Alligator mississippiensis: one gene and its partners. The protein of the gene in region 4 interacts with the protein of the main gene of each other region in a pairwise test. Links are inferred from orthologs where the notes say so. Each region holds a gene or a part of one and is shown on either strand. Other genes may lie near its edges.

What was found.
Region 1: the proteins of ATXN1 (region 4) and DNAJA3 interact in binary tests that used the Homo sapiens proteins (3 or more experiments, as listed by UniProt). The link is inferred for Alligator mississippiensis from reciprocal best matches to the Homo sapiens genes ATXN1 and DNAJA3.
Region 2: the proteins of ATXN1 (region 4) and PSMC3 interact in binary tests that used the Homo sapiens proteins (3 or more experiments, as listed by UniProt). The link is inferred for Alligator mississippiensis from reciprocal best matches to the Homo sapiens genes ATXN1 and PSMC3.
Region 3: the proteins of ATXN1 (region 4) and FDPS interact in binary tests that used the Homo sapiens proteins (3 or more experiments, as listed by UniProt). The link is inferred for Alligator mississippiensis from reciprocal best matches to the Homo sapiens genes ATXN1 and FDPS.

The regions. Positions count from the first base shown.
Region 1 is NC_081836.1:25,252,914-25,260,865, forward strand, and holds the start of DNAJA3 (dnaJ homolog subfamily A member 3, mitochondrial), read left to right. Parts: upstream 1-4,952; 5' UTR 4,953-4,967; coding exon 4,968-5,166; intron 5,167-7,243; coding exon 7,244-7,380; intron 7,381-7,952. UniProt on the Homo sapiens protein: Modulates apoptotic signal transduction or effector structures within the mitochondrial matrix. Affect cytochrome C release from the mitochondria and caspase 3 activation, but not caspase 8 activation.
Region 2 is NC_081825.1:228,398,608-228,406,634, forward strand, and holds the start of PSMC3 (26S proteasome regulatory subunit 6A), read right to left. Parts: upstream 3,006-8,027; 5' UTR 2,897-3,005; coding exon 2,870-2,896; intron 2,796-2,869; coding exon 2,715-2,795; intron 1-2,714. Other genes in the region: RAPSN (43 kDa receptor-associated protein of the synapse), read right to left, coding at 3,312-3,384, 3,810-4,009, 4,728-4,781.
Region 3 is NC_081838.1:12,575,513-12,583,024, forward strand, and holds the start of FDPS (farnesyl pyrophosphate synthase), read right to left. Parts: upstream 3,024-7,512; 5' UTR 2,884-3,023; coding exon 2,770-2,883; intron 2,652-2,769; coding exon 2,511-2,651; intron 2,330-2,510; coding exon 2,249-2,329; intron 1,470-2,248; coding exon 1,347-1,469; intron 1,083-1,346; coding exon 994-1,082; intron 689-993; coding exon 616-688; intron 392-615; coding exon 314-391; intron 231-313; coding exon 96-230; intron 1-95. Other genes in the region: pyruvate kinase PKLR, read left to right, coding at 5,063-5,216, 5,392-5,483, 5,832-5,963, 6,159-6,345, 6,672-6,942, 7,315-7,465. UniProt on the Homo sapiens protein: Key enzyme in isoprenoid biosynthesis which catalyzes the formation of farnesyl diphosphate (FPP), a precursor for several classes of essential metabolites including sterols, dolichols, carotenoids, and ubiquinones.
Region 4 is NC_081826.1:129,980,173-129,987,097, forward strand, and holds the start of ATXN1 (ataxin-1), read right to left. Parts: upstream 3,002-6,925; 5' UTR 2,700-3,001; intron 1,857-2,699; exon of another isoform or gene 382-1,856; intron 1-381. UniProt on the Homo sapiens protein: Chromatin-binding factor that repress Notch signaling in the absence of Notch intracellular domain by acting as a CBF1 corepressor. Binds to the HEY promoter and might assist, along with NCOR2, RBPJ-mediated repression. Binds RNA in vitro.

The DNA of each region.
Region 1 (7,952 bases), on a different chromosome or scaffold from region 4:
CACATGCCCACCCTACATGTCACCTATGCTTTGGGTAGAGGTGCTATCTTTTATTAGACCAACTGAATAGTTGCAAAAAAAAGTTTATTTGCAAGCTTTCAGACACACATGATCTTTCTCGGGGGAAAAAATTGTAAAACAAGAGTCTACATGACCACTAAATTACAACATCATTCCTTTCATGTTGTTATACATTTATGGCGATCCAATGCATCTGAGTAATTTTTCGAAGGCAATTGTTTTATTAAATTTTGTGTGTGGCAAAATTAAGTATTTAATTTTAACATTGCGTGTTGTGCTTTATTTATTAATGCACCATGCAAACATTTAACAGGTCTGTTTATTAATGCTTTTTGATACTTTCATATTTATAATGGGGTGTGGGGGGCCTCCAATTTTCTGTTTGCCTAGGGCCCCAATGAATCTTAATCCGCCCCTGGCTGCATTGCAGGCTATGGGCAGCCTCAGCCAGAAGGGCCTCAGAAGTGATGAGCGTGCTCGCTGCCAGGTTCAGCTTTTGCCAGGCGCCTAGCACCGGCCACTACTGCTTATCATGAGCAGAGCTGCCTCTCTGTATATCCCCCTCCCCAAAAAACTGTCCTGTACCTCCAGCACAGTGCCACAGCTTACACCAGCTCCTGGCCCATGCGCCAGAAGCAATGCTGGGCAGGCACTGGCATCAGCTGTGGACACAGGCAGCAGCTTCCCCCTGGGGACTGGGGGAAGCTTCTCCTTGGGGTAGAATGGCAGCTGGACACTGAACCTGCTGCCCACACCCACACCATCTCCCTTCCTCCCCTCCCCCTCTGCAGACCCATTCCACATAGGGAAGCTTGGTGAGCTATTGCAGGGTGGGGCGCTAACCTCCTCTGCAACAGGTCCCCAAAACTCCCTAGATGGCCCTCGGCCCCAAATTGCCCACCCCTGCACTAGATCCTAGAAGAGGGGATCCAGCATTCTGCCCAAGGTCTAAAAAAGCTGTGTGCTTTCATCAACAGGAAGAGGAGTAGCAATTCCCAGTGGTGACAAGGAGCGGTGCCAGGAGCAGCACCAGTGGAGCAGAGAACCTCAGATGTGGTGAGGAGTGGCAGTAGCAACTGTTGAGCAGTTATCCTCTGTCAGAGTACCAGTTACACTAAGGAGAGGAGAGGGGAAAGATTGGGGACAGCAGCTACCTTGTCTGCCCTAGCTACCAAGTTGTCCCTGCATGGAACTAGGGGAGAAATCTGGTCCTACTGACTGTGATATACTATGAAAACTTAGTTGGGATAGACTACAGACCATTACGGTCTTCTCCAAGATTGCTTATAAGTCTCACTTTTATGAGACCCTATGTAACTGTAAGTTTGCTACTGCTTGCAAGTTGGAGGTGTGTTCACACTGGAGGTACCAAGCAGCATTTTTTTCTTCAGGTTTCTGGGTGGGGGCTTGAGCTAAGTTGGATAATGTGTGTCAAAAGACAACCATCTAAATTTGACCCATGCTGTTGCCATCCACTGCCTAGCAGAAGGGTTACACTGGCAAACTAAAGTGTCCCCCATATTTAGCTGTTTTCTGAAAAGCTACTTCATTTGCAGGAGCAAATGTGATGCCCTTTGACTATCTCACAGAGCCAGAAGGAAATTATTTCAAAGGGTCAGACAGACATACTATATAGTTTTTCCAACCCAGCTTGCAGGCCTGGTATTCTAAAGATGTTTTGATCAAGAAGGACTGAGCAGGAGTCTTTGACCAGTGTAAGCCTTGAGCTGGCTAAGAGCAGAAGCACTATTTCCTTCCTGTGAGGGGTTAGGCTTTGCTGGCACTAGGAGACAAGGCTAAGCTAGCATCTCAAACCAATACTGCCCCACCACAAGCCGGGCTCCAACTGCCTCCTCACAGATAGACAGGGATATAGAAGATAAAGTGGTTTTTGATGGGGAGTTTTTTTTTCTGTTTTCAAGAGCCACCAGCCTCCCTAAGAGATAGTGTGTGCAGGTGGAGCATGAGGCCTTTGTGTAGCCAGCCCCCAGGCTCTGAGGGTCTCCACCTATTGCTCAGCCCACTCTGGTCTAGGGAGTTGTATGTGTGCCCCGCTACCCAAAAAAAGAAAAAAGGGCTCAGACCTGGTTTGGGGCCTCTAGGGGCTCAGCACAGCTGGAGTGGCAGTCACAGGCCCCAGCTCTGATGGGCTGGGTGTGAGGCTGGGCCAGGCCAGGCCCCTACTTTCCTCAGATCACTCCTCTCTGGGCCTAGCGGCTGCACTCTCAAACCTGGCTCCTGGGATAGAGTTTACCTCTTTGACCCAACTGGGCCACCAGCCATCACCATTACCCTACCAAGCATGCTCAAGAAGGTGTCACTGATTGTCCCCAAGAGGGATGCATTTTGAAAAAAAAAACCCTTGTACAGTACCGAACGGTTATACTGGGATTTCAAGTCCTTCCATGTTGGGATGATCCTGGTAGGTTCCTGCATCTTGCCCACATGACAAGCAGGCCCTTCCCAGCAGCTTAGTCCAAGGTGAAAACAGCTCATTCTCTGCAGATGAGTCCAACCTAGGAAATAATGTGCTCAGCAAAACCTGAACTTGCTGCAGGGGAGAGAGGAGAGGGCACTTTGTATCTACAGAATGGGCAAGCTGCTCCGCTAATAACCCTGGGAGTGGAAAAGTCCCTCTGCTCTTTCCTTGCCCTACAGTTAGCCAGTGCCCCTGCCTGAGGTAGATCATTGCTGGTGCCCTCTAGAAGGGAGAGGTCCCTACTCTATTCCCCACCCTCTGAACTAGCCAATCCCTATGCCTCCACCCATTCTTCAAGGAAAAAAGTGAGGAAAAGACAGCAATAAAAACCATGTTTCATATGAGAGAGTCCTTACAGTAGGACCTCCCTGCCCTGAGACATGTTATATTGGCAGGTATTTATACAGATTTCCCTTGATTTATGCAACAGATGCCTTCCCAGGGAACAGTGCATAAATCAAATTCACATAAAGCAAACCCAATTTACAATGAAACAGATAGGGATGACACTGGAGATTCCAGGTACCTTAGTTCTGCTTCCAGCTTTAACTTGCTGTGTGACCTGGATGTATTACTTTGGACTAAACTATTAAAAGGATCTCAGCCTGGCATCTGTTACAATTAACATTTAGACATCTACCTACCAGACATGCAGTTTGCTACTTACTTGGAAATGACCTTTGGTAACCACAAGGTCGGCAACTGCAAAGTTACTGTTAAAAAATGAAGTTATTAAAAAAAATATCAGGCTTGCTTTGTGCCTGAGTTTCCCCATCTGTAAAACAGGGATATGCCTACTTTCTTGGAATATTAAGATAACTAACTAGTTCATGTCTACTGCTCTGAGATTCTCTGATGAAGGTTCTTTAGGAATTCAGATCATAAGTACAGTTGCTTCAATACTGCCCATACCCACTTAAACATGTGAAGCAAGACTCCACACAGATGTTGATAGTCCCAAAATCCTACTCTCACACTACCCACATTTAATATTAGGATATCATATACCTTATCTCTTCACCAACTGCTTATCATCACTTCCCACGTGTACCTATGGGGATGGGAGAAACATAACATGGCTTCTTTTCAGTTACTTAAAGGTAGTCTTTCTAATTAAGAAGTGCATGTTCCCCTCAGCTGTGTACTTGTCATGAATCCACCTCTATTTCTAAATGTGCATTCTCTGCTCTTAAAGAGTAGCAATGATTTCTTAGGATGATATATTTTATTGGATCAGCTGTGTAGTTGTGAGTCAGACAAGCTTTTAAATGCAAGACATTCTTCATCAGCCCTGATCAGAACAAGCCAGGCACAGCCATGTAAGCTTAAGAAATTGTTACGGTATAGTCTGGCTTCTTTTTTCTTTAGGTTGTGGATTTTCCATTTTAAGTGTCAGATTTCAATGTCTTCCATGTCGTGGTAGTGTAAGAGCGATGGCATAGCCATGATGGTTCAGAAATGACATGATCTTTCACTACCATAACATGGAAAACAACATAATCTACTGCTTAACAATGCAAAATCTATAACCTAAGAAAAAAGAAGCCAGACTGCATTTCGTAATGTTTTGCGCATGAAGGCTCAGAAATAGACATAGCCAGTTGGAATGTGATCTCCTGGATCCAGGACCGGACAGAGCAAATAGCTGCACTTAATGTACCTCCAGTGCTTTGATAATGGCCTCGCCCTTCCCCTGGGGCAGGAGGTGAGCCAAGGGCAGAAGGGAGAGAGAGCTCCAGCATCTGCTAAAGTTGCGTGTGTCCCAGGTGCACAAGTGCAGGCTGAGCAGGCATGTTGTACAGCACAGACCCATTTTGCACCTGATGTTAAACTGACATAGTCTTCTACAAATGGCTTGTTTCCTTGGACTTCAGGGAGCTCAAAGCAGATGCAGCACCTGGACTAATGGACCACAAATAAAGGATTTTTATAAAAAACACAAGTCAAATGTCTAGTTGCTGTTTTAAAAAGGAAATGGGCAGAAAGCAAGCGCAGCTCCAGCCTGCCACAAAAAGGCCTCTCAGGTAGCAAGAGGGAGAAAGTGACAATCCGAGATTGGGGATGAGAAAGCCTGCGGCCAGCACGATCCGCCGGGTCTATTTGCCCGGGCAGAAGCTGAAGGCAGCGCGTCTCGCTGGGCAGGGTAGACAGTGGCACCTTCAAGCGGCCTGGGCCGCATCGCGTGGCGCCGCGGCACGCTCAGGGCAGGAGGAGCGGCCCGGGCACGAGGCAGCTGTTAAAAATACGGGGCCAACAGGAGACGCGGAAACACCGGCTTCTCCACGAGGGGACGGACGGGCGCGACGAACCCCCCCCGCAGCCCAGCCCCCTTTGCTGCGGCACGGAAGCATGCGCAGTGCTCGCCGCGCGCGGCCGGGCAAAGCTTGCGCGCAGGCGCAGTGCTCCGCGCCTTGGCCCGCGTGCGCCGGGCCGGAGGGCGCAGGCGCAGCGCGGCGCACGGGCCAAGATGGCGGCCGGCTGCTCCCCGCGCTGGCTGAGCGCCGCGGCCACCGGCCTCGGGGGGGTCCGGGGCGCCGGCAGGACCGCGCGGCTGGTGCTGCTGCGGCTCAGCCGGGGACTCAGCGCCGCCCCCGCCGCCGCCTTCCCCGCCCGGGCGGGGGCCGGGAGCCGCCTGCTGACGTTGAGAGCCGGGGTCAGCCCCGCGGGTGAGCGCCGGGCCGGGCGGGGGCTCCGCGAGGCCGTCGCCGCGGTGGGGGCTGGCTCCGCGCGGCCCGGGGGAGAGGGCGCCGGGGGCTCTGCCTGCCGTGCTGACGGTGGAGGCACGTGGGAGGCGGCCTGGCCCGGCCCTCAAGTCACGGCCTCTGCGTCCGCCTCCGTGCGGGTGTTCGGCGGCAGCAGGGCCCGGAGACGCTGTGCCGCTGCCAGCTGGGGAGGAGGCTGCCCCAGGCGGGAGTGCTCGGCCCTCTCCTGCAGCGCGGTGCGGGCCGTGTCTCCCTCTGCCCCGCGCTGGCTGGAAGCCTCGGAAGGGCCGACGTGCACGAGCCCATCCTTGAGTGCTGTAAATAAGCGGGAGCCTGTTGGACTGGCGCCATGTGCCGTCTCAGCAAATTCCAGATCAGCTTTAAGCCCCTGTTCCTCATCCTCACATCCTCCCGTTTTAGAGCCTGGCCTGTGTGAGGCCCACCCCAAAGCTGCCTACCCACGCAGTTAGTGTTGAAGACACCAACGATGCAGTTAGTGTTGTCCGGGTTAGAGGGAAGGTGGGGCAGACTTATGTTTTATAGGCTAGATAAATCAAAGATGTATAGCACAAGTCCTACAGGCTAGCAGGGTCAGCTGTCCTTCTCTGTCCAAGGTCAAGCCATTGGGAGCCAGGTAAATTAATCCCACCATTTCAATTCCTTCTTTTTTTTTCAGGGGGTCAAAATGAGTTTTCATCTTGCTCATTTTAGAGGACAGGGCAAACCTCTTTGCCTCTATTGAGCAAGATCTGCCTTGACAAAATGGAGGGAAATTTCATCTCTTAGATCTTATTTTGTGAAGAATAATGGAATTAAGATATGAAATTATTTGACTGCTCTGCTTTTACCTGCAGAATGCTTCTAAAGCTGCATTAAAATCTCTTCATGTTTTCAAGAGTCTGGGGAAGAGTAAATGCTTGCTTCTCTTAAAGTTAGTTGCATGTCTCCTGTAACTTCACTGTTACAGGTTTTAGTCTTACCTTAAAACTATAAAATGCTAGAAAATTAATTGAATATTACTCCATGGTATCTCATGATTTAAGCTCTGTGAAAAGTAGAATGGCTTCTTTGTCACACCACCACATATCTACTGTCTGCTGTGATCAGAAGTTGGCCACATACAGGGATGTTGCTAAAAAAAATTGTGAATGAAATCTTAAATTGTGTCAGAATTCTCCCTATAATTATTGCATTGGTTGTTGGCACCCATCACTATCTTAAAGGCGTGGTAATTTTAGCTCTGGTATATATATATTTTTCTAAATAAAATTTCTTTTTTGCACGTACCAAATTAAGCATCCTGTGTAAGCTTCAATACATTTTACAATCTTCAGTTAAATTGAAGTTAAAAAAGTAGAAGCTGTTTTTGATTAAGAAATGGTTTCTAAAAAACCCCTCATATTTATTTACCTTTTACAGATGGAGTATTCCATGCAGTTTTTCAGTGTAACTGTCTTGATTATTAATACAGGTTTCCCTCACTTTATGTGGGTTCTGTACATGCAAATTTGCTCTTATGTGATGACCCATTTTATACCAAAAATGTGTTATATGCGAGGTAAATTTATTCTTATGTGATTGGCGTGGTGGAAGCCCAGTCAGCTGCTTTGTGTGGTGCATTGTGGGAGTGACCCACTCCAAAATATAGTCTCTTGTGTGGATCTTTGCTCCTCACTCATTGTCTACGACATGCGTTTCTGTAGTTGCCATCCCCATTATGATTATGCCCTGTGCTTGTGTGTACTGTCTGCTGTAGGTGAGTACCAAAATTACCTTGTAAAAGTGGTAGAAATGGGTCTGGTGGTCAGTAAGTCGAGGTATTAGAATGTATCCCTATTTGTTACATTGTAAAGTCGGTTCTCTTTATGCGAATTTGAGTTATGCACCATTTTCCAGGAACACATGTTACAGTATAAAGCGGGGGAAACCTGTACACAAGAGCAGGCCGTGAAGCACCAGGAAAGGTTCTGCGGAAGGTCTGTGGTTTCTTACAATTTGTCTTGTTTTGACTTTTTTTTCTTTTCTGTCTGGCTTTTCTTAGGAACTAAAAATTATCCTTTAATATGCAATGCCTTGTTTCATACTGGTTCCTCCTCTTGCACCAAAGAAGATTATTACCAGATACTGGGAGTTCCTCGAACTGCTACCCAAAAGGAGATCAAGAAAGCCTATTACCAGGCATGTATGCTAAAGAAAAATGAAAATGGTTTAATTTCATGATTGACTTCGTGTTTTGAATTTTGTCTTGTTGGGGAGAGTGTATTATGACCCACTTTTTACTCTTACCTGAAATATACCAAAGTAAAAACTTCCAAGTACTGTCATGCTAGTGATTTTTTTTTTTTCCTTGCATGGTGGAACGAGGCCGATAATATATTAAAGGAAGTTCAGTGCCATCAGATAGATTCAACACAGTCGTCCCTGGTTAAATATATTATTTTGGGCAGTGGCCAGTATCTTTTACATCAGGGAAGGCAAAAGCCACAAAACTCATAAATATTAGTAAAATGCTGATTTTTATTTTTGGTATCTTTCTGTGGCCTTTCTTTTTGCGTTCTTTAAATTTTTTTTATACTTAAAAACCTCTAAAAATAAGCTTTCAGAGTCATTGGTAGCAAGATTATAGTTATGGTTCACTCTTGTCATTATGCATATTAAGAGCATTCTTGGTGAGCCAGGCCCTGCGTGCAATGGATAGGTGTTGATTGGCTGGCTCATGTGGAAAAGCTTTGTGATGCTTCTTTTATTAT
Region 2 (8,027 bases), on a different chromosome or scaffold from region 4:
AGTATCACCACTACAAGAGAGAGCACTGAGGCTACTACAGGCCTCAGTAGTCTACCAGTCATGACCTTTTGAATTAAATGAAACAAGACTCCCTGTACAGAGGCTGATAAACTGAGATCCTATGTTTAAAGGGCAACTGGATATTAGAAAAATGAGTGAGAGTTCAAAACTTTGAGTATAGACCGAGCACAACAACTGTTTCCCAAGAGAAAGCAGTGCATTCCTATTTTCTCAGACAGCAAGTCATCTAACACGAGGCAAAGATAAGACAGTCTTGCCTTTTACTGATGACCTCAGGATCCAGACAGGCATTCAATCTGAACACCAGAAGTTTCCAGCACCATGAAAGTGAAGTGAGAAGGGGGCTATGGAGGCATTCCAGCTCCTTAGCTGGAGAACTAGACTGTGGTAAGCTCTCCTGCCAGGGGCAAGAGAGGGTTGCTCTTTGGTTCCTCCAACCTAGATGGGAGCCTGATCACTGACAGCTTGTGCTCTCCCCTGCCCAGGAAGATGCAGGCTGTTAGTGATCAGCTAGCAGATGCTGAAAGACAGCCTCCAGCTCCAGCTCGAGCAAGTAACCAACCACTCTTCTACCCCCGACCTCTGGCACACCCTCAACTCACTGCACACTCCCAGAGACACCCAGGACCATTAAAGGCGCATAGGCCAGTGGTCCTACCACCTGAACCATCCCATAGCTCACCAGGATGGTTCAAAGAGCAGGGGGAAGCAAGATGGTTCTTGGGGCTGCAGCCAGAACACCAGCACTTGCCCATGATCTAGCCATGGGAATGCAGCTTCTTGTCACAAGCAAGAGTCCATGCTTCAGCCGCATCAGTGGTACTGTGGAGACCTCTGCCCTCCTGCCAGCACACTGCCAGAGGGCAGTCACAGTAGACAACTCTTCTGCTCACACAGCTGAAACACAGCCCTTGCACCAAGTGGTCCTGCTGATTGCTAGACTGGGTAGGGGGCCACCCATAGAGCCACCCCCTGCTTGGTCTCCTTAATCTGGGTGCTCTGTCAGCTCATGGCTGGGTATCCTCCTTCGCTCCAGGAGGGCGGACACTTTCGGCGGTTGCTCCCGGTGGCTGGGCCGGGTGCCGCATCTACAATATTGCCAAGAAAGGTTCGCGGAGATTTTCGGGGACACGGTTTTCGGGACCCTAGATGCCCATCTTGGGTTCCAGGAGGTCGGACAGGGGAAACTCCGGGGCAGGACCCTGCTGCAGGAGAGGGTCAACCCCGAGTTTGGCTCCATGTCGACTGGTGCTCCGGCCCGGGGGCGGGCCGGGCGGCCTGGCCGGACGAGAGTTCCAGGAGCCCGGCCGCGATTTCTACTTCTCCCCGGTGCCCTGCACGGTGGCCGGGCGGCCCCGGGCGCGGGCGGCGGGCTGCTCCCGCGGGGGAGACGAGCCGCCCTAACGTCCGGGAGGGAGGCACGGGGTCGACCTGGCTCCCGAGCTCCGGCCCTGGGTATCAGGATCCACGCACTGTGGAATACTCAGGGTCCCAATGCCACAGACATCGCACATGGTGCTAGAAAAATTCAGTGGCAAAGTTGCTAAGCCAGCAGCTAATGGTGGAATTGCTGTCTTTTCTGCCCCACAGGCTGCCTGAACACCTGCAGGCCTACGTTTGCTTCAGGAAAGCGGAGTGTTTCCCCGACATAAATGAAACACCTGCTCGCATCCGTAGGGGAGCCATTTTCTCTTTCAGGCAGCTGTGGACCAAACCTAACTGATCAGCGGAGGCCTCACCTGCAGCAGCAATCACAGCCATAGTTTTCTCTCTGTAGTAATATAGTAGGAGTGTGAATCTAGACAGAGCTCAGATTTTTATCCCCCATCAGTCTACCTTGTTTAAGGAGCCATTACTTAAACCCAAGAAGTAGAAGGGTAGTGTGGAACTACCTAACAAACATTATCCAGTCATCTGTGGCCAAGGTGCCCAGTACAGAAGAAGCAGTGAACTACATCTCTATGCCTGCTTGCTCCACTGCTGCTGCCAGCCCCATAGATTGAGCCCACCAAGGAGCCCCACAGTTCAGATCTGGCCAGGGGCAACTCCAACACCCAAGTTAATGGAGTTAAACTCGTCCTTCCCTTAAATACCCCTTCTCTAGGCTGGAGCTCGTTAGGGCACTGGACAGGCACAAATGCTGAGCACAGCAGCAACCTGCAACAAAAACGGCCTGCAAGTGGCAAGTCTACAGAGCAAACTCCCTACCACGAGGTGTTGTGGAAGCCGATAGTTCAAAAGGGGACTGAACAAATCCTTGGAGCAAAGGGGCATTGGTAGCAATCCAGCACAGGGGTAAATTAGGAGCACAGCCTCTGAATCACAGCTTCCTGGGCCCTACACCTGGAGGCTGCTGGTGGGAAACAGAGGAAAAGCCACATCCTGCTCACTGTCCCCTCCAGCATCCACTCTGCACCCCAGCTGCCGCGGGCCTGGGCCCAGCAGAGCCACAAGCCTGGAGCAGGCAGCGACTTGAGGCTGGGCACCGCGCAGGAGGAAGCGGAGAGGGCGCGCGGGCGGCACGGAGCAGGGCACGGCCGGTGCCCGCCGCCCTCTGCAGTCTGTGACGTGCGGCCCGGGAGGCGCCGCCTGAGGGGTCCTGGGCCTCGCCGGGCCGCGCCCCTGAGCAGCCGGACGCGCTCGCCGACAGGAGCCCCGGGGCTGCTGCTGCTAGGGCCGGGCTGGGCGCTCACCTTGATCTCGCTGTCCAGCAGGCGCGTGCGCTGCACGATCTCCTCCGTGGACATCTTCAGCACCTCCTCGCCCACGCCGTCCTGGGGGGGCACGGGGTGGTCAGCGGCCGCTCCCAGCACCCCCATCCCTTGTCCCCCTCCCCCGGCCCCCTCACCTCGGCCTCATCCCAGACCGACGCCATTCTTGCTCTGTGCGAGTAAACGCGGCCCGGCGTCACAGACCGCGGATTCGTCTTAGGCCGCGGCGGGAAAGCCTGTCCCGGCCGCTACGGGACCGCGCTGCTCCTCCCCCGCCCCCCGTGTCGAATCTGCTGCGTAGAAACCTGCCCCGCCGGTCACGTGACAGCGGCCAAATCTGCTGAGTGATGGCTCCGCCGCCATGTCGATGAGGGACAGCGCGGAGGCGGGGCCAGCTGCAGGGGCCGCCCACGAGCGCTGCTCGGAGCGGAGGGGGCGGGGCGGAGCAGGCCCCGCCCAGGAACGAGCGCGGCCAGCGCGGGTGTAACCACTTTTATTTCCAGGACAAACAGCTCGCGGCCCCGCCCCCCGCGCGTCACAGTCTGGGGCGGGGCGGGGCTGGGAGGTGGCGCCGGCGGCTCAGACGAAGCCCGGCTTGACAGTGGCGCGGCGGCAGTGCGGGCAGCCGCGGGTCCCGTCCGTCTGCAGGCACCTGCAAGAGAGAGGAGGCGGTGCTCGGAGCGGCTCCTGGCCCCGCCCGCTGCCCGCGCTGGGGCACTCACACGCAGGAGGAACTGAAGGGGATTTAAGCGCAGCTCCGAGGCGCCTCCGGGCCTGTCCCCGCCGTCCCTCCAGGCCTATTTCTGAGACCCGAGGAGGGGGGCTGCCTGCCAGCCGGCACAGGGGGAACAAATCTGGCTGAGGCTCAGTAGACGGCAGTGTAAGGGGGCCGCCCCTGTGCAGGGGAGATGCCCACAGGACAGAGTCCTCTAGACAACAGTGGCCTTGCCCATCACTGCTCTAGCCCTGGGCTGCTAAACTCAGCTCGGGGGGGGCACCCCTGAGCAGCCACCCCTCCCCAAACCCTCTGCCAGAACCGACCTCCATCTGGCAGCCCCTGTCCCCCGTGCTCCTTACTTGAGATGGAAGAAGTGGGAGCAAGGCAGCGCCTGGAGCTGGTTGTTCCTCTCCCCGATGGACTCTCCGCACAGGCCGCAGTACAGCTCCATCTCCTCCACACACTCGTGGAACCGCACCACATGGCCGCGCAGCTCCCGCTGCCGCCCCTTGCTGCGATAGATGCTTTCACACAGGCAGTGAAGCTTCAGCAGGCCAAGCTAGTGGAAGAGGCAAGGGCAAAGCGGACACCGAAGGCCTCTAAAAAGGAAGCCTCCTCTAGCCCCACAAGGCACACAGGCCAAACCCAAAAAACACCAACCTGCTAAAAGCCAGGATGTTTAGGGTCAAGATAGAATTAATTCCTGTGGGCTCTCAGCCCTCCCTGTGTATCCATAAACCCTCTGGTCCCAGTGAAGGAGGTGAGAGGGTTGCAGCACTCCAAGCATGCAGCAACCTATTCACCAAGCTGGCTTTCCTTAGCTTTTCTTTCTACAGAGGAAGCCAGCCAGCATACAAGCCAGGCACAAGACTTGTTTATCTGGCTCATTAATAGATAGATGCCTGGGAGATGTTCAGAGAAGAAATCCCTAATCCTTCAGCTGTCCTCACCACCATCCTGTTCCTGCCCTGCTGTTGGAGCATCTTCTATTTCTGACTTCACTAACCTGCTGTGGATCCTTATTAATTTTTTAGCTATTACAGCAGCCAGCGTGTGCCCACTCCATTCAGAACTACCCCCTCCCTCTCTGCCCACTGATTCTTGCACAAACTAAACACCTGTTCCAAGATAATTGACTTTGAGGCTTGCAGCTCAAATTTGCCTCAAGGAATTACTGGTTAACCCAAGTTTGGGGAGGATAAACAGGCAGTAACTTTGAGATTGGGCACCTTAGTCTTCCTACCCCCAGTGGAGGGGAGCTGTGAGAGTGAGCCTACCTTGTTTCCCAGTCCCTCTGCCAGCTCCTGGGCCTTTTCAGTGCTTTCCAATGCCTGTGGGATGGAGCAAAAGATCACAAATACCAGCATAGGTCATAATTTCTCAGGCTGATGCATCAGAACCAGCTGTGCACAGCATAGCTAAGGGCATGATGGAGAAAAAACAGAGAGCTAGTGGGTCAGGATTAATAAAACATTGCCATGATAGAGTAAAAGCAGAATGGCTCCTAGGAAGCAAAACAGTGCGCCCTGGAGGCTTTCTGAAAACTGCTTGTTGCTGTCTGAAGTTGCACAAAATTTGGCAGGTACATTCCTCCCCACCCCAGAGATGCTTTGAGTGGAAAGTTGGCATGGCCTTAGCAGAGACCAGAGTCTTCAACTGAGGAAGATGCAGACCTTCTGGGACTCTGGTGCAGGAAATCACCACAGCTGAACTTAAGCACAAGCACAGCAGCAGGGTCAGCAGTCTTTGGACTTCAGGTATCTACTTCCACTACTATAAAAAGGACAGGAACAGGGACAGACCAGCATGCCAACAGGCACACAGCTACCAGTGAGTTGTTCCTATATCAGCTGCCAAGAATCCATGTGGTAAGATGTAGGAAGTTGTTGCTGTGGCCTCTCCCACCTGTGGGGAAGTGTTGCCCTTCTCACAGCTGCTACACTGAATGGCAGTCAGTGGCAGGAGGATAGGTTAGGGCTAATACAGACCCTGCCTGCCCTCCAGCCACTTTGCCCATCCACTGCAGCATGGGACACATGGTGGTGGCAGTGCTAGCTCTGGCATAGGGCACACAGTGGGTACTTGTGCTGTCACTTCATGGTCCTTTTCCCCAATGCACAATCGTCTAGATGTCCATTCCTCTCACTCCACACTTTCCTCTAGAATCATAGAAATGTGGGGCTGAAAGTTACCTCTGGAAGTCATTTATTCCAACCCTCCTGCCCAAGGCCAACCATCCCTGTCTATATCATTGCAGAGAAGAGTCTAACTTGCTCTTAAAATCTTCCAAGGAGGGAGATTCCACAACCACTCTAGGCAGTCTGTCCCAGTACTTAACTGCCCTCATATTTAGAAAGGTCTTCCAAAGAACCACCCTAATTTTCCTTGTTGCAGTTTAAGACTTACTTCTTGCCCTGTCTCCTGCAGCCATGGAACAGTGTCTGTCACTCTCCACTTTATAACCACCCTTCAAGTAATTGGGAATGTGTTAACAAATCCCCGCTGCCTTCTTTTCTCCAGACTAAAAAATGCAAATTCTTCCAAGCATTTCTTGTAAGCCATGTTTCCTAGCTCTCTACTCATTTCAGTTGCTCTATTCTGGATTCCTTCCAATTTCTCTCTAAGGCTTTGGAAATTGGCCATGGCTGAAGACTGAATGCTGAACAGGGTGGACAAATGCTCTCAAGTTCAACAAAGACTCCTCCTACTTAGATGCCCAACTGACTTTGCCATCATGTTCAGGATGAAACTGATCACCAGATTTGGAGTAAGGAAGGAATTTTGTTGGATTACTGGTCAGAATGGTAGATTTGTGGGCTTTCCTTCACTTTTCTCTGTAGCATGGGCATGGATCATCTGCTGGGATCATCTAGACATTTCTTGTCTAATCAATTTCCTGCTATCGCAAGGGCCTTCAGCGTTAGTGGTCTCTTCTGCTATACCTGTGCCACACAGCTTGGTCTCCTGATGTCTTAAATGCTTTTATTCAGTTGAAGGATTTGGGTTAGCGTACAGTATCTGGGTGACATTTGCTGGCCTGTGCTATGCAGAAGGTCAGACTAGGTGATCTGCTGGTCTCCTCTGGCTTCAAACTTTTCAAACGCTATGAAATTCCAAATCTCACCAGTACTCTACCAGCAGCAAACATCTGTGAAACCATCCCCCCATAGCTCAAGTTGGCAGAGGAGTGTATGTTGGATCTAAATGTTCAGCCTTGCTGCTGACCCTTTGATAGCCTTGGTAGGATTTGATTTTTATTGATAGACATTGATTTCATCTGACACACACAGACTGATGGAAAACTATTTCCATCAGTAATCATTGAAATTTACACCAAAGGGAAACAAAAAAAATTCTGGGATGGAGGTAAGGAAAATTGGGGCAGGGGTGTGCACATACATACACACACCCAGGAGCCTGGTGCTGCTGTCTCCTCACTCTGCCCAGGTCCCAGCTGGGGCAGGGGCCAGTCCCTGCGAGATCAAGGCAGGGGCCAAACGCTTGTGGAGGATGGACCAGGCAAGGCTCCATGGGCATTTAGCCCAGCCCTTGGCTGGGACTTGAACACAGCAAGGGGCTGGCAGCACCAGGCTCCCAGGCTTTACCAACACCCCGCCCTGGGCACAGCCTTACTGGCATAGCCCCCAGCTCCTGCAGCAGCTACCACACGTGTACACACGAATAAATTAATTTAAAATAAATTGAAAAATACCTGATTTTGTGCCGTCCTGAAAATGTCAATAGATAAAAATCATAATAGATGCTTAAAAATAAACATTCATTTTAGCCATCAAAATTTAAAAAAATTAATTCTGCCAGGCCTACCCATAAAATGTCACTAGGAGTCTGTGTGATGGGTGTCCTGTTTCTGAAGTTGGCACTTTTACAAAGAACATAAGAAATTATGACCTAAAACCCTCTATCAAAAGAACTTTATGGTTGCAAAGTCTAGCACTCAAAATGCTAGGAAATGACAGCATTCCTTGCATGTATGCATTTTGCAACAGTAACTACCTGATCATAACCTATTTTAGCCATAGGAGCCTTGTCTCATTAAACGCATACGAGGTTAATGAATCAGGGCTGGCTAATGAAGACACCTGGTGACAGTAGGACCCCAGCCATACTTGTTGCAGAATTTGGAAGATATGTAATGTATGAGATGGGATTGGAGGAAAACAAAGGATGTTATAAGGTATATGAATGCTGCCCTAGATTCTAGTACCACATCTAAAACACAGAAACACTAATGCCACTTTACTAGTTCAGAGTAAATTTCCTGGCCTGGTATCACAGACTTTTAATGAGTGATCCCCAATTGTGTATCACCTATTTTCTATGTGCCAGACTTGAGATACTGGGATCTCTACAGAGTACTAAGCAGTCAACATCTTAGCTTAAACCCATGAGAACCATGCTTTGAACACATAATGCTAAGTAGTCTGAAAAATTATGCTCTAGGTGTCTCAGATTGGACACCCACAATTAGCGGAAAATTTCAAGCTGAATCTCTGTTTTTCTGTTCCCCTTCTGTAGAATGGGGATAAAAATATAAAATGGTTGCACATTTAGTGAGC
Region 3 (7,512 bases), on a different chromosome or scaffold from region 4:
CCCCATAAGCATTAGTAAGCCAGGCAGCAACCCCCACTGCCCCTGCCACAGGCCACCAGTAGGGGGGCAGGGTCTTAATCTCCCAGTGAGAATACCTCAAGGAGCTTCCTCTGCTCTGGAGAGGCCCGGCGCAGGCACTCTACCACCAGCCAGCTGCACTTGTTGTCCTGGATGTCAGTGCCAATCTTACCTGTCAAGCTTGGATCCCCAAAGCAATCAAGGAAGTCATCCTGTGGGCAGACAAAGCCTACTGTGCTGTGACCTTCCAGAGTACAGGGTCTCATGAGCACCTATGGGAGAAGGGGTCTCTTACCTGGATCTGGAAGAACTCCCCCATCTCCAGCAGGATGGCCTTTGCATTGGCATGCTCCTCCTCACTCTCTATGCCAGCCTGCAAGGAGAGAAGAGAATGGAGATGCCTCGGCCTCTAGCCCAGACCCTTCACAACCCTGGTCCTCTGCTGCACATACACCCCTCCCCTCCCCCCCCAGGTCCTCAGCCAGCAGAGCCTACCCCAACCCCCCCAGACATGCGCACCACCACACTCCCTCCCACAGCAGAGTTGCCTGCCCACCCATGTCAGCCAGCAGTATGCGGGCTGCAGAGGACACTCACCATGTACATGGCAGCAGCGACAGGCAGGTAGAAAGAGTAGAAAGCTGTCTTATATTTAACAATTGCCTTGTACCTGCCAGACAGGAGCCACACTCAGTGACCGAGGCCCACAGGGTGCCAGGAGCACCTTGCAGACACTGGAGCCACTTCCCAGGGACAACTGGCTACAGCATTGCCCCAGAGATGTCAAAGCCTCTGGCTTGTAAAGACAGCAGCCAGGGGGGGGAGCAGCCCAGAGAAGCTCCTTGCTACCCCTCAGCTACACAGAGGTGCCCTGCAGGGCAATGGGCGCTGCTGAGGCAGCCGCGTCCATGAGCCACAATTGCCCCAGTCACTGCACCTGCCCCCAGATAGCAGGCTTTACCCACTAGGCCTCACCTCTGCTCAGTGAAGCGGGCCAGGTCCACTTGGGTAGGGGGAGCTGTGATGAGGTCCAGAGCCTGTCCCAGCTCCGTCTGGTAGCTGGTCTGAGGAGGAAGAAGACGTGAGGTCCCAGCCCCACTATGCGCTGCTCATATGGCCCTGAAGGCCCCATCCCTGGACACTCAGAGACTATCCAGGGGAACAAGCAGCTGCCACCACGTGGCATGGGGCTTGCACCTCCCGGCAGGCATGTGGCAGCTCTCTGACAGTGACCTGCAGACCCGAGTGAGATCAGACGTGCCCAAGGGGAGCTGACTTGCGGCAATCAGGGTGCAGGAGGAAAATGGGAGCAAAGGGGCCAGCCCCACCTGCAAGAAGAGCTCCAGCAAGTGCAGGTAGTAGGGCTGCCCCCGGCAATATTTCTTCAGCAGCCGGTAGATGGAGGATTCAAGAAGGAAGGAGTCATTCACAGCATCCAAACCAATCCCCTCCTGCAATAGAAGGCCCAGGGCAGGTTAGAGCCAGCCCTCTTCCATCCACCCTCTGCCAGGCTCCATGCTTCAATCCTCCCCTACACGCACCACAAGGCAAGCCAGCAGCAGTGAGAGTTCAAGCTGCAAGGCTCAAGCTTTGGGCAAAACACCCAAATGCATCAGAATAACAATTCCCAATGGGTGCCATGAGGGGTGACGGCACCAAAGGAGCATCTGTCGGCGTCAGCATGGGGAGCCCCATGAGGCAGAAGTCTGGTGGTGTAGAAACTGTGATAGTTAACACTGTTGCCAAGAACTTCCCAGCTCTGCATGATAGGACCCAGCCACAGAATCAAAGGGGTGGGCAGGCCCATGCGTGTAGACAGCCCAAACACACCGCACCCCTTCTCCAGGGTCAGGAGGCAGCGCACGGCCCCTTTTAATCCAGATGTGCCGTGGGAATCGGAAGCGCAGGGAACACCGATTCAGAACGTGGACAAGAACATCACGGGAGGACAAGAACAGGGTAAACTGCTGCAGCAAGGCAGGATAGTACATCCCAGGGCAGCGCGTGCCCGGGAAGGGCTGGGGCAAACGTTGCAACTACACGAGAGCACGAATTGGCAAAGAAATGTGAAGCAAGAGCACCTCGCGTGGGCGAGCAGCGACTGGAAAAGCACTTCTATGGCACAGAGCCCCGCACTGCCCAGGGGACGCATGAGGTGACTGAACTGCTGTGGCAGGACCTGGAAGCAGCGATGCCCAGTGCCGTCAGCCCCTGCCCCAGCCCCCGGTACCTTCTTATACCAGCAGGGCTGGCCCCGGCGGGTGAGGGACGAGTCCATGATATCATCTGCCACGAGGAAAAAAGCCTGGAGCTGCAACAAGAACAAGTCCTTCTCGTACCACACCGGGACTAAGCGGTTCAGGCCCAGGTCCCCCCAGGCACCGAGGGCTGTGCCAGCCTCCTGGTGGGGAGCCTGACGGGGTCCATGGTGCCCCCAGGCCCTTCAGGAGCCTGCTCCCCCCCGCACCCGGGACCCCCAAGCCTGGCCTCACCAGCTCGATGCACCAGCCGACCGCCAGCGCGCACCGGACGCTGTCCGGGCCCTGCTGCTCGGGCTGCACGAGGCGTCGGAAGGCGGCCAGCACGGTCAGGCCCCGCGTGTGCTTCCCGCCCGGGCTGTTGTACTCCAGCACCTGTGGGGACAAGCACACAGCTCCGCTGACACCGGCCCGGTGGCACCCACCCCGGGCACCCCGCGAGGGCGAGCACAGCCTCTCCCCCCTCCGCCGCTCAGCCTACTCCCCCGCTCACCTCCTTCAGCCGGGCCACCGCGTCGCCCACCTCGGGGTGCCGCAGCCCGTCGGCCGTGAGGTCGCGCACGACCTGCGGGAAGAAGCCCTCGAAGGCCTGGCGGTCCGCGCCCATCGCCGCCCCTGCCGCACGCGGCGCGCTCAGGCTCAGGCCCGGCCCCGCAGCTCCGCGCACCAGAGCGAGCGCGCGGCCCAGCAGCAGCCGCCCCGTCCAAGCCGTGCTCCCCGCACCTGCTCCGCAGCCGCCTCCACTCCGCGCGCCGGCCCCGCCCACTTTAAACCCCGGCAGCGGCGCGGGGGCGCCTGGGAGCTGTAGTGCGCGCGGCCCCAGCCCCGCGCCCGCCGCCGCCGCCGGGACCACAACTCCCGGCCTGCCTCGCGGCGGGGCGGGGCGGGGCGGTGCCCCGTCCCATCTCGGGAGGCCGCGCCCATTGGCCACCTCCCATCGTATGAGGATGGGCCCTTGGGGGGATGAGCCAGTCAGCGGGTGGCGAGGCGGGGCCACGCCCGGCGGAGCCTCGGGATTGGCTGGAGGAGGAAGTTTGGGCCCGCAGGCAGAAGTACCGTAATCCTTCAGCAGCCGTCTGACAGTGGGTGTCCCCGCCCCCGCCCCCTAGGCCCCGCCCCCGACTAGCTCTTCCCCGATCCCTGCTGCTCCTTACAGCTCCGTTCATCTGCCTGCCGCTACTTGTAATATCTGCTGCTCCGCCTGCTGCTCCCTGCCCCTCTGCTGCTCTGCCTGGCGCTCCCTGCTATATCTGCTGCTCTGCCTGGCGCTCCCTGCCCCTCTGCTGCTCTGCCTGCCACTCCCTGCTATATCTGCTGCTCTGCCTGCCGTTCCCTGCCCCTCTGCCTGCCGCTCCCTGTTCTATCTGCTGCTCCCTGCTATATCTGCTGCTCTGCCTGCCGTTTCCTGCCCCTCTGCCTGCCGCTCCCTGCTATATCTGCTGCTCTGCCTGCTGCTCACTGCCCCTCTGCTGCTCTGCCTGCCGCTCCCTGCTCTATCTGGTCAGACCACAGGGTGTTGTGCCCGTCTCCTGCGTGGCACAGAGGCCAGGTGCAGGCTGAGACTGAACAGGGTCTGACCAGGGCTGTTGCCACCGTTTGACTCCCACTGACAGCTTCCTTCCCCCTGCCAGCCTGCCCCGCCACTCCTGCCCCGGCGCCCCAGGCCGTGGGCGAGCAGGGAGAAGCGGCGGCTGGTGGAGCGGGACCAGGGCCGGGCTGGAGCAGGAGGGGTGGGGACAAGGAGCAGGAAGGGGCGAGGCTGGGAGCTGCCCAGGGGCTGGCAGGGAGGAGGGGAGAGCTGCCACTTCCTAGTTCCTATCTGGGGCGTCTCCCGTGGGCCGGAGCAGCGGGCCAGCACCGGAACGAGGTGGGTGGTTCCTGGCTCGGGAGCAGCCGTGGGACCGGATTGCAGCCCCTGCCCGGCCCTGGCCCCTCGCGCCCGCACAGCGAGCTGGTTCTGCCTGCCCAGGACCCCGGTGCCGAGGCCTGCTCTGCACATCGCAGCTGCCAGCCTCGCTGCTCCCTGGCCCCAGGACGGCCCGTGCGGCCCCAGGGAGCCTGTCTCGTACGCCAGGGCAGTGCGACATGAGCTGTCCACACCACGCTGCTGTGAGATGACTGGCCCCAGAGCCTCCTTGTGGTCCCTGGGGCCTGGATCCCGGCTCCCAGCCCCTGCTTCCCGCTGGGCCTGCACCATGTGGGGATGCTTGCCCTGGCTCTGCTCCCAGAGGGCCCCGGTGTATGCCAGGGGCCACAGGTTGATCCCAGGTTGCTGCCAGCTCCTTCCCAGCTCCCGTCTCGGGGTCTGGTTGTTGTAATGAGCCCGACAGCCAGCAAAGCCCCAGGCCACGCAGGAATGACCTCTGGTCCAAGCTGGCCGAGCTCTGGTGACACTTTAATGAGCTCTGGCGTGTCAGAGGTCTGCTCAGGGGTGGGGGTCTGGGCTGCAGGGAGGCAGCCATGGCAGGACGGGCTGCACTGGGGCTGCACACGGAAGGTGGGTCCAAGCCCTCCGCTGAGCGATGATCAGGACCTTGGCACCAGGGGGGAAGTGCCCGCCGAGTCGATGGCTGCACAACGGCGGCATGCAGCTAGCACTCCCCGCTCACGCTGCCCTGAGCAGGGGGCACTGGCACTGCCCCAAGAAGGCCTCGGCACTTCCTGCTGCTCCCAGCCCGGCACTGGGGGGCAGGGGCTGCCATCCCACGGGCTGCGCCTGGCAGCATTTGTGCAACTGCACCCTCCCTGTCTCAGCAGGGGTCATCAGGCCGTGGCTGCTGGAAGACATGGCTCAGCTCACCCAGGAGCTCGGCACAGCCTTTTTCCAGAGGAACCAGCTGAGGGCGTCCCGGGCGGACACCTTCCTGGAGCACCTCTGCCTGCTGGACATCGACTCGGTGCCCATCACCACCCGCAACACCAGCATCGTCTGTACCATAGGTATTGCTCTCCCAGGGAAAGGGCAAGAACCACTCTGTGCAGGAGAGCTGGGGGTGCCGGGCCACAGGATGGCACCGGAGACCTGCCTGGAGGGGCTGGGGCAAGGCCCAGGGCCCTGAGGGTGGGATAGTCTCTGGGCAGAGGGCAGGAGGGTCTGAGCCTCTGTGTCTGCCAGGGCCTGCTTCCCGCTCCGTGGAGATGCTGAAAGAGATGATTAAGGCTGGGATGAACATTGCACGCCTGAACTTCTCTCACGGCTCACACGAGGTATGTGGGTAGGGGCCAGGCCCCACAGACGGGTGGAAGCAGGGATCCCCCAGCCTGGCACAGGGAGAGGGTGCTGTAGCTAGGGAGCGTCTGCCCACTGGGGCAGCGGGGGAGCCCCCACCTCGCAGGCTGGAGCAAGGGAGGATATTGAGATGGGGACAAGTTTGTGGATCCAGGGCAAGGCCCAAAGCCCCCTGACTGGGGCAAGCAGGGCCCTGAAGGGCAGGTGCAGACAGGGCCCTGATGGGAAAGGAAGGGGCAGGACCAGAGACCACAAACTGGGGCAGGGGCAGGGGCAGCACAGCTCTGCACAGCAGCCCCCCTGCAGCCCTAGCTCTTCCCTGCCAGTATCATGCCGGCTCCATTGCAAACATCCGGGAGGCGACAGAGAGCTTCGCCTCCAATCCTCTCTTCTACCGCCCCGTGGCCATCGCCCTGGACACCAAGGGCCCTGAGATCCGCACTGGCCTGATCAAAGGGGTGAGTATAGAGTAGCTGGATGGGAAAGGGGCAGGGGCTGCTGGTGGGAGGCTGCCCTGCCCTGGCCTGTAGCAGAAAGCAAGGGGTCCGGGAATTGGCAGGGGGACACTGGAGCAGGTGGGACTGGTGCGGTTTGGATGGGTCTGCCAATCAAGCTGGGCACGCTGAAGCCCCGATCGTGCGGTGCCTGTGCAGGGTGAGAACATGGAGGTGGAGCTGGTGAAGGGCTCCCGCGTGACGGTCACCACCGACGAGGCCTACAAGGAGCGCTGCGACCAGTCTGTCATCTGGGTGGACTACCGAAACCTCGCCAGGGTTGTAAAGGTCGGCAGGAAGATCTTTGTGGACGACGGGCTCATCTCCCTGGTGGTCAAGGAAATCGGTACGTCCCCCAGTGCTCTGCCGCCCGCCCACCCCAGGGTGGCACAGGGCACCCCCAACCCGGGCCTATGTCCCCAGAACTCTGACCACCGCCTGCCCAGCCCAGGGTGGTACAGGGCACTAGCCGAGTGTCTGCACCTTCCTCAATGCCCCCCCCCCCCCCCCCCGGCGCAGCTCTATGCTACATCCCCATGCTCTGCGCTGTTCTTTAGCCCCTACCATGGCTATGTTGCCCCGGCCAGTCCCCACTGGGGTGCCCATCCCAGCCCCTGTCCCTGTGCCCCACGGACCCCGCAGGGCCTGGAACTGCCTCTCTCCCTGCCCCAGGCCCCAACAGCTGCGTGACGGAGGTGGAGAATGGCGGGGTATTGTGCAGCCGCAAGGGCGTGAACCTGCCAGGGGCGGAGGTCGACCTGCCAGCTGTGTCAGAGCGGGATGTGCGCGACCTGCACTTCGGGCTGCAGCATGGCGTGGACATGATCTTTGCCTCCTTCATCCGCAAGGCAGCTGATGTGGCAGCCATCCGGGCTGTGCTGGGCGAGCAGGGCCGCACCATCAAGATCATCAGCAAGATTGAAAACCATGAGGGCGTCAGGAAGTAACTGTCCCTGTGTCCCTGGTTGTCTGCCCCCTGCCTATCAGCCGCGGCAGCAGGGGAGAGAAATGTTCCTCTCTGCCCCACATGTCATCGCTGGGGATGGGGCATCATGCCCACCCCAAAGGCATTTCCCCGGGGGGCCACAGCAGCACTTACCTGCATGGGGTCATCAGGCACACACAGGCTTGCTCTGGACGTTCTTGTGTCCCACGAGCTCTCAGCTCTGTGGCCAGGCTGGCACCCACTCTTGTGGCAGCCACGTGCCATTCCCTGAGCTCCCAGAACACGCCTTCAGTAGCATGTCTTGCCTGGGGTGGGTATGATGGGGACACCTCCTGAGCCGTGTGAAGCTAAGCCTGTTCTGCCCTGCAGGTTTGATGAGATCCTGGATGCCAGTGATGGGATTATGGTGGCTCGCGGGGACCTGGGCATTGAAATCCCAGCAGAGAAAGTCTTCGTGGCGCAGAAAATGATGATTGGTTGCTGCAACCGTGCGGGGAAGCCTGTGATCTGTGCCACGCAGGTCAGTCTGCTCCAGGCTCTGAGGATCGGGGCCCCGGGGGTTGGTTG
Region 4 (6,925 bases):
TTGGAAATTCAATGACCAAGTAAAACACACGAAGGCCCCAATCTTGCTAAGAATTACAAACATGCTTATAACAACACGTTCTTTGAGGTAAGTGATAATGCTGATGCCAGTTATCCATCACTTTCGTTCTGCTAGTCAGAGCACGTAAAGTTAGGCACGCCGTTTGGGGCCTAAGCTGTTAGCCCTCAGACCTGTGATATCTTTCATGCACAATTTCAGCCTTCACATGGTTAAACACCTAGCCCTCTAAAAAGATTAGACTGGGGACTAAACATTTAGATAAGCCTGGAAAAAAGTTTAGAAGGAGTAGCAAACATTTGTTGATTCACAAACAATAAACACTAGAGTAATTTCCCTGACTAGGTCAATATATTTGCATACCGTGCACAAATGTAAAAACTGCCTGATGCTGTAGCACTCGAGGAGCATCTTTCACATACTCAGTGGTCAGGAAATGATTACAATATGCTGAAACATTCTGCAAGAAGACAGAGCAGTCAGCTATGCAGGCTGCACAACATAAATACAGTACATATACCGCTTGAGGTAGCCTAGTCACAAGACAAACACACCTGAATGGACGATGAATACTGTCTGTTACCATGGCAGCCTGATCTAATTACATGACTGATCAGGGCTAGAGTAAGTGCACTGAAAACCTACACCACTGACATGTATCTACATGATGACAGAGAGATAGACAGGCAAGAGTTGAAGAAAACCTATCAACCTTTGCCTTACATAAACGGCGATAATAAAGCCAGCCTTTTCTAAGAATTGCTGCCTGTAAAATATTGGACCATTTTTTTATTTTTATTTTTTATATATGCATGTATGTTTGGAGACAATGAGACAAAATTGTAAGCTGTTCTAAGAAGACACCTTGCTGCATCTCACCAAAAAAAAAAAAAAGCTACGGCATATTTTTTTTCTCTCACCCTCAATTTTCTCCCCCTCATTCATAATCCTTTTTCCAGGTTATAAAACTGAACTGTCTTCACCATCCAAAGCAACATAACTACATTAACATGCTATCTGAATTTTGCAGTAGCTAAAGGTCTGGGTTGGAAACTGAAATGAAAAGCCCTCGACTTACCTAATATATAATCAAAGTAACCGGCTATGCCAGACCATGTCTGACATGCAGCCTACCCCTGCTGCATAAAATAGATAGCAGGGATCCTTACGTTTTAAGGAGAACCTGCATGACGACATACGGATGTCTTCATGCCACCAAATATAAAAAGGCTTTGGAGAACTAAGGTCATCTGCCTCCCGCATTTCTTATTTGCTCATAAAGGGCAGGCGGAAGGGACAGTGGTTTTTTTACACTGCATTTCTAACCCAGGCGTTCATCAGAAGGCTTCTCTTTTTCATTTTTTCATTTTTTTTTTACTGATTATATCCGGAGTCCAGCCTCACCCAGGGGGGGCCAAAGAGTGGCTCCCCCCCCCCGAAAACTTGCTGCCTGCAAGAGTCCCCATTGCCCTGCGTAGGGTAAACAGAAATAAAAATAGCTCAGCCTTCTCCTTATATAATGCGCTGGGAGGAGAGGGAGGTTTTCTCTCCCGTGTTTCCTCTTCAGCGACTGCTCCCCATCCCCGCTCACATCCCAACAGGCCTCACTCTGGTCATAATAATGATAACACTAATACTACTACTACTAATAATAATGCGATGGTTATTATTCCCCCCCCATCAGCCTCATCACTTCTGGTGGGAGCTGGACTTGACAAGGCTGGAGGGGGGGGTGTTATTTTGGAGGTGGTTTGCAGGGCAGCCGGCTCCCAAGGGCCCGGGCAGGCGGCCGGGCCGGACCGGACCGGGCGGCCGGGGGGGGCGCTGTGAGGGCCCCGGAGCGCCGCGCCCAGCCCCAGGCCGTGGAGCGGGGCAGCCAGGCCTGCCCTGACCCCGGCCCCGCGCCAGCCGGTGCCTGCAGCCGGCCTGCGCACGGGCCCGGAGCGGGAAGGCTACTGCTGCTGCCGCCGCCGGCCGCCTCCCGCGCCGCTCGCTTCATTCGCCCCCCCTACTACGGCCCGGCCTTGCAACTCAGACCCCTCCCCCACGAGCACCCCCCCCCGGCCCCGGCCCTCCTGCACCCCGCCTGGCACGGCACAGCACAGCACAGCACAGCAAGCGGGTGCAGGGACTGCCCCCAGGGCATCACAAAGCCCTTTCGCCCAGGGGCTGCGCGGCGAGGGAGGGAGGGAGGGAGCAGGAGCCCCGGGTGCAGGAGGGACAGGGTAGGAGATTCCCCCCCGCGCATGCACAGCAAGGGGGGGGGGGGGTGCAGGGGATCACAAAGCCCTTGTGCCCACAAGCTGGCATGCAGGGGAGGGGGGCAGGAGCCTGGGTACAGGAGGGACAGGGTAGGACCCCTTCTCCCCCTAGCAGACGGGGTGCAGTGCGTGCCCCCAGGGGATCACAAAGCCTTTGTGCCCAAGAGCAGGGGAGGGGGCAGGAGGGACAGCGTAAGAGATCCCTTCTCCTTCCCCCCCAACCCTTGCATGCACAGCAAGGGGGGGGGTGCAATGATCCCCCCCACACACACTCCCAGGGGATCACAAAGCCCTTGTGCCCAAAAGCAAGGAAGGGACAGGGTAGAAGATCCCTCCCCCCGTGTTTTTTTTTTCCAGCTGCAGGGAAGGAGGAAGGGGGAGGGGGAGGCAAAAGCAGAGGAGAAATAAAAAACCACTTACTGTAAAGTGTCACTGGAGGAGGGGCGGGGGGAGGCAGCAGCACCCAGCCGGGCCGGGCCGGGCGTGGGGGTGCTGCAGCGGGGCTGGCTCCTCCGGGCTCCTTCCTTCCTTCCTTCCCCCGCGGCGGGAGTGAGTGAGTGACACGCGGGTCCCGGCTGCCCCCAGCGCCGTAGTAGATGCAGGGATGTCTGCGGTACGAGGCTGCTCCGCTCCCCGGTATGTCAGTGTGTAAGCGAAGCCAAATATGGAGCAGTTGGCTGCCTCTGCAACAGCTCAAGGATCCGACTTCATGCACAAGGCAGGGAGGGAGGAGGGGAGGGGAGGGGAGGGAGGAGGAGGAGGTGGAGGCAAGGCAACACTTTGGCAGGCGGCCAAAGAGAGCCACACATTACAGCATACGCACAGCAGAGCCGAGCCAAACCGGCCTTAACCCTTTGCAGGGCTCCTCCGGCCTCTGCCAGGCCAGCTCTGCTCGCTGGCCTTGGGTTAGGGATGCACGGAGAAGGAAGCGCCTTGTGGGTGTCTGGTAGAAATCAGAGGGAAGTCAGGCTGGAAAAGACCTCCAGAGGTCATCAGGTCCGACCCGCTGCCGGATGCGCTGTCAGCCCTAGCCAAACCATCCCTACAGCCCTCATCTGAACTCTGCAGAAGTCTACACCCAACCCTGACTCAACAGAGACCTAACCCCGACCCTGCCACAGGTAAAGCAGGGGAACCACGGCAGCACACATCCTGCTTCTATACAACCCTGTCAATACTTACCTGGCAGGAGAAACACCATGTATCTGAGTCCCTGAAGACAGTTTTCCTTGAGCGCTTGGAGGATAAGCGCTCTTCTGGTGTGGTTTAGTACCTGCCAAGGTGTTTGGGCTTTAAGTCCATTTCATGGAAAGGGGAGGTTCCTCCCTAGCTTGCTCCTGCAGCCATATGGCTGAGGGCAAGTGAAACTCAGGCATCCCCAAGTTGGATGCCTGCCAAAAGATGTTGGAAACATCTGATGTTCCTGGTATGGGTAGAGGACGTTTGCTGGTTGTAGGGCCACTTATGGTTCTGGACTGACTCACGGATTTGGACTTGATTTGGCTTGGAACATGACAATTTCTTTAAATATATATACATGCTCAAGGGGCCTGTGTCTGGCCAGCAATCTGGTTTGATCTCCAAGGTGCTCGTCCTGTGGAGCTGGACCATCCTACTCACTCCCAACCCCAGGGGTCTCTGAGGATGGCCAGCATTCCTGTGGCTAGCTAGAGGCTGCCTTGGGGAAGCTGCCTTGTCCTGGCCACCATCCCTCCTGGACATGGTGGAGATCAGCTGGTCTCACCTAGGCTGGGATTCCTCCCCCCGACTCCTCACCCCCCAGGCCTGTGAGATAGGTGCCTGCCTGAAGGTGCCTGACAGAGGGATGCCCTAAGGAAGCAGAAGCCAAAGCCTGCCTCTCTTCTCCTAGGAAATCCTGCTTAACATGCTTTGTACAGGGGCCAATCCTATTAGCAGGGTCTACTTTGTTTCTGCCCATGGTACTTGCTCCCTGATCAAGGCTTTGATGACTTTTACTCATGTCCTTCATTAAACCTCAAGAAAGGCCTAGTCAGACTAGGTAAATATAGATACTAATGGCCCTCTGGACACCCTAATACAGTGGAGTCCAGTCTTTTTTGGCAAGCGTGTCACAGATTAGCCCCAAAACCTCCCCAAAGGGCACTCTGATCTCCTTTCTCTGATCTATCTGCTGCTCTGCTTTCTGCCCTGGGCTTCTGCTGGATCTGTTGCTTTTTCTGCTGCCTGCCCCATCTGCTGCATTGCTTCCTGTCCTATCTGCCACTGTGCTGCCTGAGTCCTCCCCAGTCTGCCATGTGTCATACACAGGCTGCCCTAATTTATTCCAGGTATGTGCAAGTGTAGTACTCTGTGTCAACAGTGCACAGGTCTGTTTAGGTGTCACCGCCTTGATTATACCTGCTCTGAGGCTAAGACACTCCCAATTATTGCCTTGGGAAAAATGACTTACTTCTCCATTGTGGTTCAGCTTCCACTAGTTACTGTCCTGTGTTCCCCTGGAGGAGGACCTTGGGTCTCAGCGGCTCCATTACAGAAGGTCAGGGTGACAGGAGAGTGACACCCTTGGAGGCAAGAAAGAGTCCAAGAAAATGTCCTGTCTCAGAGACCTCTGGACTGGCTCCAGTTTCCTAGAAGACAACACAGAAGAGAACAAACCATTATCTTAGTAGCCAAAAAAAGGGGAGAACAAAATTGAAACTGAAGAGGGTACTGGGGAAGTGAAAGCACATCATAAAATCAAGTGCTGTTCCTCCTAAAGCACCAAAGCCCAATGCTGGCCATGCTTGTTGTATTACCTACTAACCTACTAGGTCCTGGTAGGGCCTGGCAGTGAGTCCAGAAGAAGTTTTTGACTGCCACAGCATTAGCAAGTGAGAGGACACAGCACAGAGTAACCCTTGTTCTTTATTATGCACAAGCATCTTCTGAGGCAAAAGTAACCACAGTGGGAACACGCACAAATGCCCTATGTATGCTATAGACATAATGACACCTGCTCTAAGGAGAGATGTGCTGAACATTGTAGCATATGTACAATGCCTCATAACCCTTGGCAACACTTAAAAGAGGTTCTAATTTGGACCGAACATACTGCATTTCCTCCAAACAGGATAACTCGTGTGGCCATTCTGTACTGTCACTACTTGCACCAGTTCACTCACACCAGTGCAGGATCTCAAATGGCACTTTTTTAGTTTAGATGCCCCTCAGGTGTCAGTGAAGCATTTCTATAACTTAGAAATATATTACTCACTAAAGAGCAAATGTAAACAATGTTGTAAGCTGCCAAGGTTTTGACCTATAGGAAACAACAATCTAGTATAGGCTTATGAAGAATTAGGTTCTTTTATTGTTGCAACGTCTAAACCTTTAGTTAAGGTCTGCACAAAAGGATGGCATTCTCTGCTTTCTGAGTGCTTTGGGGACAGAAACAAGCCTAGGCATTTGGAGACATGCAACTCAGCATCACAGGGTAGCCAATCTGCAACAGCAAAGCAGACCTCAGTAGCATCCTCTCCCAGCTTATGCAAGTTTAATTAATGTAATCAAAGAAAGGACGAGAAGGTGAATTACTGAAAACCACGTAAAAGTGCTAGTGATGATGCAACACCTTAATCTGGGTTCAGCTCAACACACACTGCATTCTCTCCCCGTCACCTTGTTACTTCTGTACTTCAGAGAGTTACCTCAGTAGAAAGGAATCTCTTCCTTCGGAGATGTTCGCCTTGCCAACAGGTGTGGCACATACGGAGAAAGAGAAGCCACATTCATGCTGAAGCAAGCTTTGGACAACTTTCCCCTTTGCAACAGATTAACACTGCTCATTCTTCCATTCTCTGGCTGTGAAGTTTGCCATACTTTGCCATGGAATAATGTTTTTCAAAATGTAAGCTTTATCTATAGTTCTAGACCTCACAGTTAAGAAGAACCCCTTTAAAATGTAAAACTGAATATAAACAGATGCAGCATGGAGTTCCTGGGTTTACAAACAATTTGACTAGGGCTGACAAAAGATTTTAAAAAATCATAGCAATTAATTGCAAGATTAAAAAAAATAGTCGCAATTAATCGCACAGTTAAACAACAGCCAGTACCTCCTCACCACCCGAGCCTGCGTACCCTGCGGGTGGTTCCTCTGTGCCACCACCAACAGCACACAGCCCCAGCCTCGACCCTGGCCCAGACCGTGCCTGCTACAGACTCTCCCCAGCTGGAGTGGACCAGCCAGAACCTATGCAAACAGCCCCATCCCTGGCCTGCCTCATGCCTGCTCCAGATTCACCTGCCCACATTGAGCAGCAGCAACAGCCAGGCAGAAGCTGCTGCTCAGCAAGGAGGAAAAGAGGCCCCTTACCGTCACTGCTGCTGAGCCCATCTTGCTGCAGCTGCCTGAAGCCCACACCTGGGTTGCCCTGTGGCTTCTCTGCATTGCCACCACTGGGCAGCCCGGAGGTGGCAGTGATGGCAGCAGAGAGAAGCTGCAGGGCAGCCCAGGTGTGGGCTCTGGGTGGCTGCAGCAAGAAGGCCCCAGCAGTGATTAGGAGGGGCATTTTCTTCCATGCCAGCTAGCAGCTTCTGCCTGGCCACTGCTACTGCTGCCACTGCTCAGCGTGGGCAGGTGTGTCTGGAGCAGGTTTGGAGTGGGCTGGGGACAGGGCTGTGCA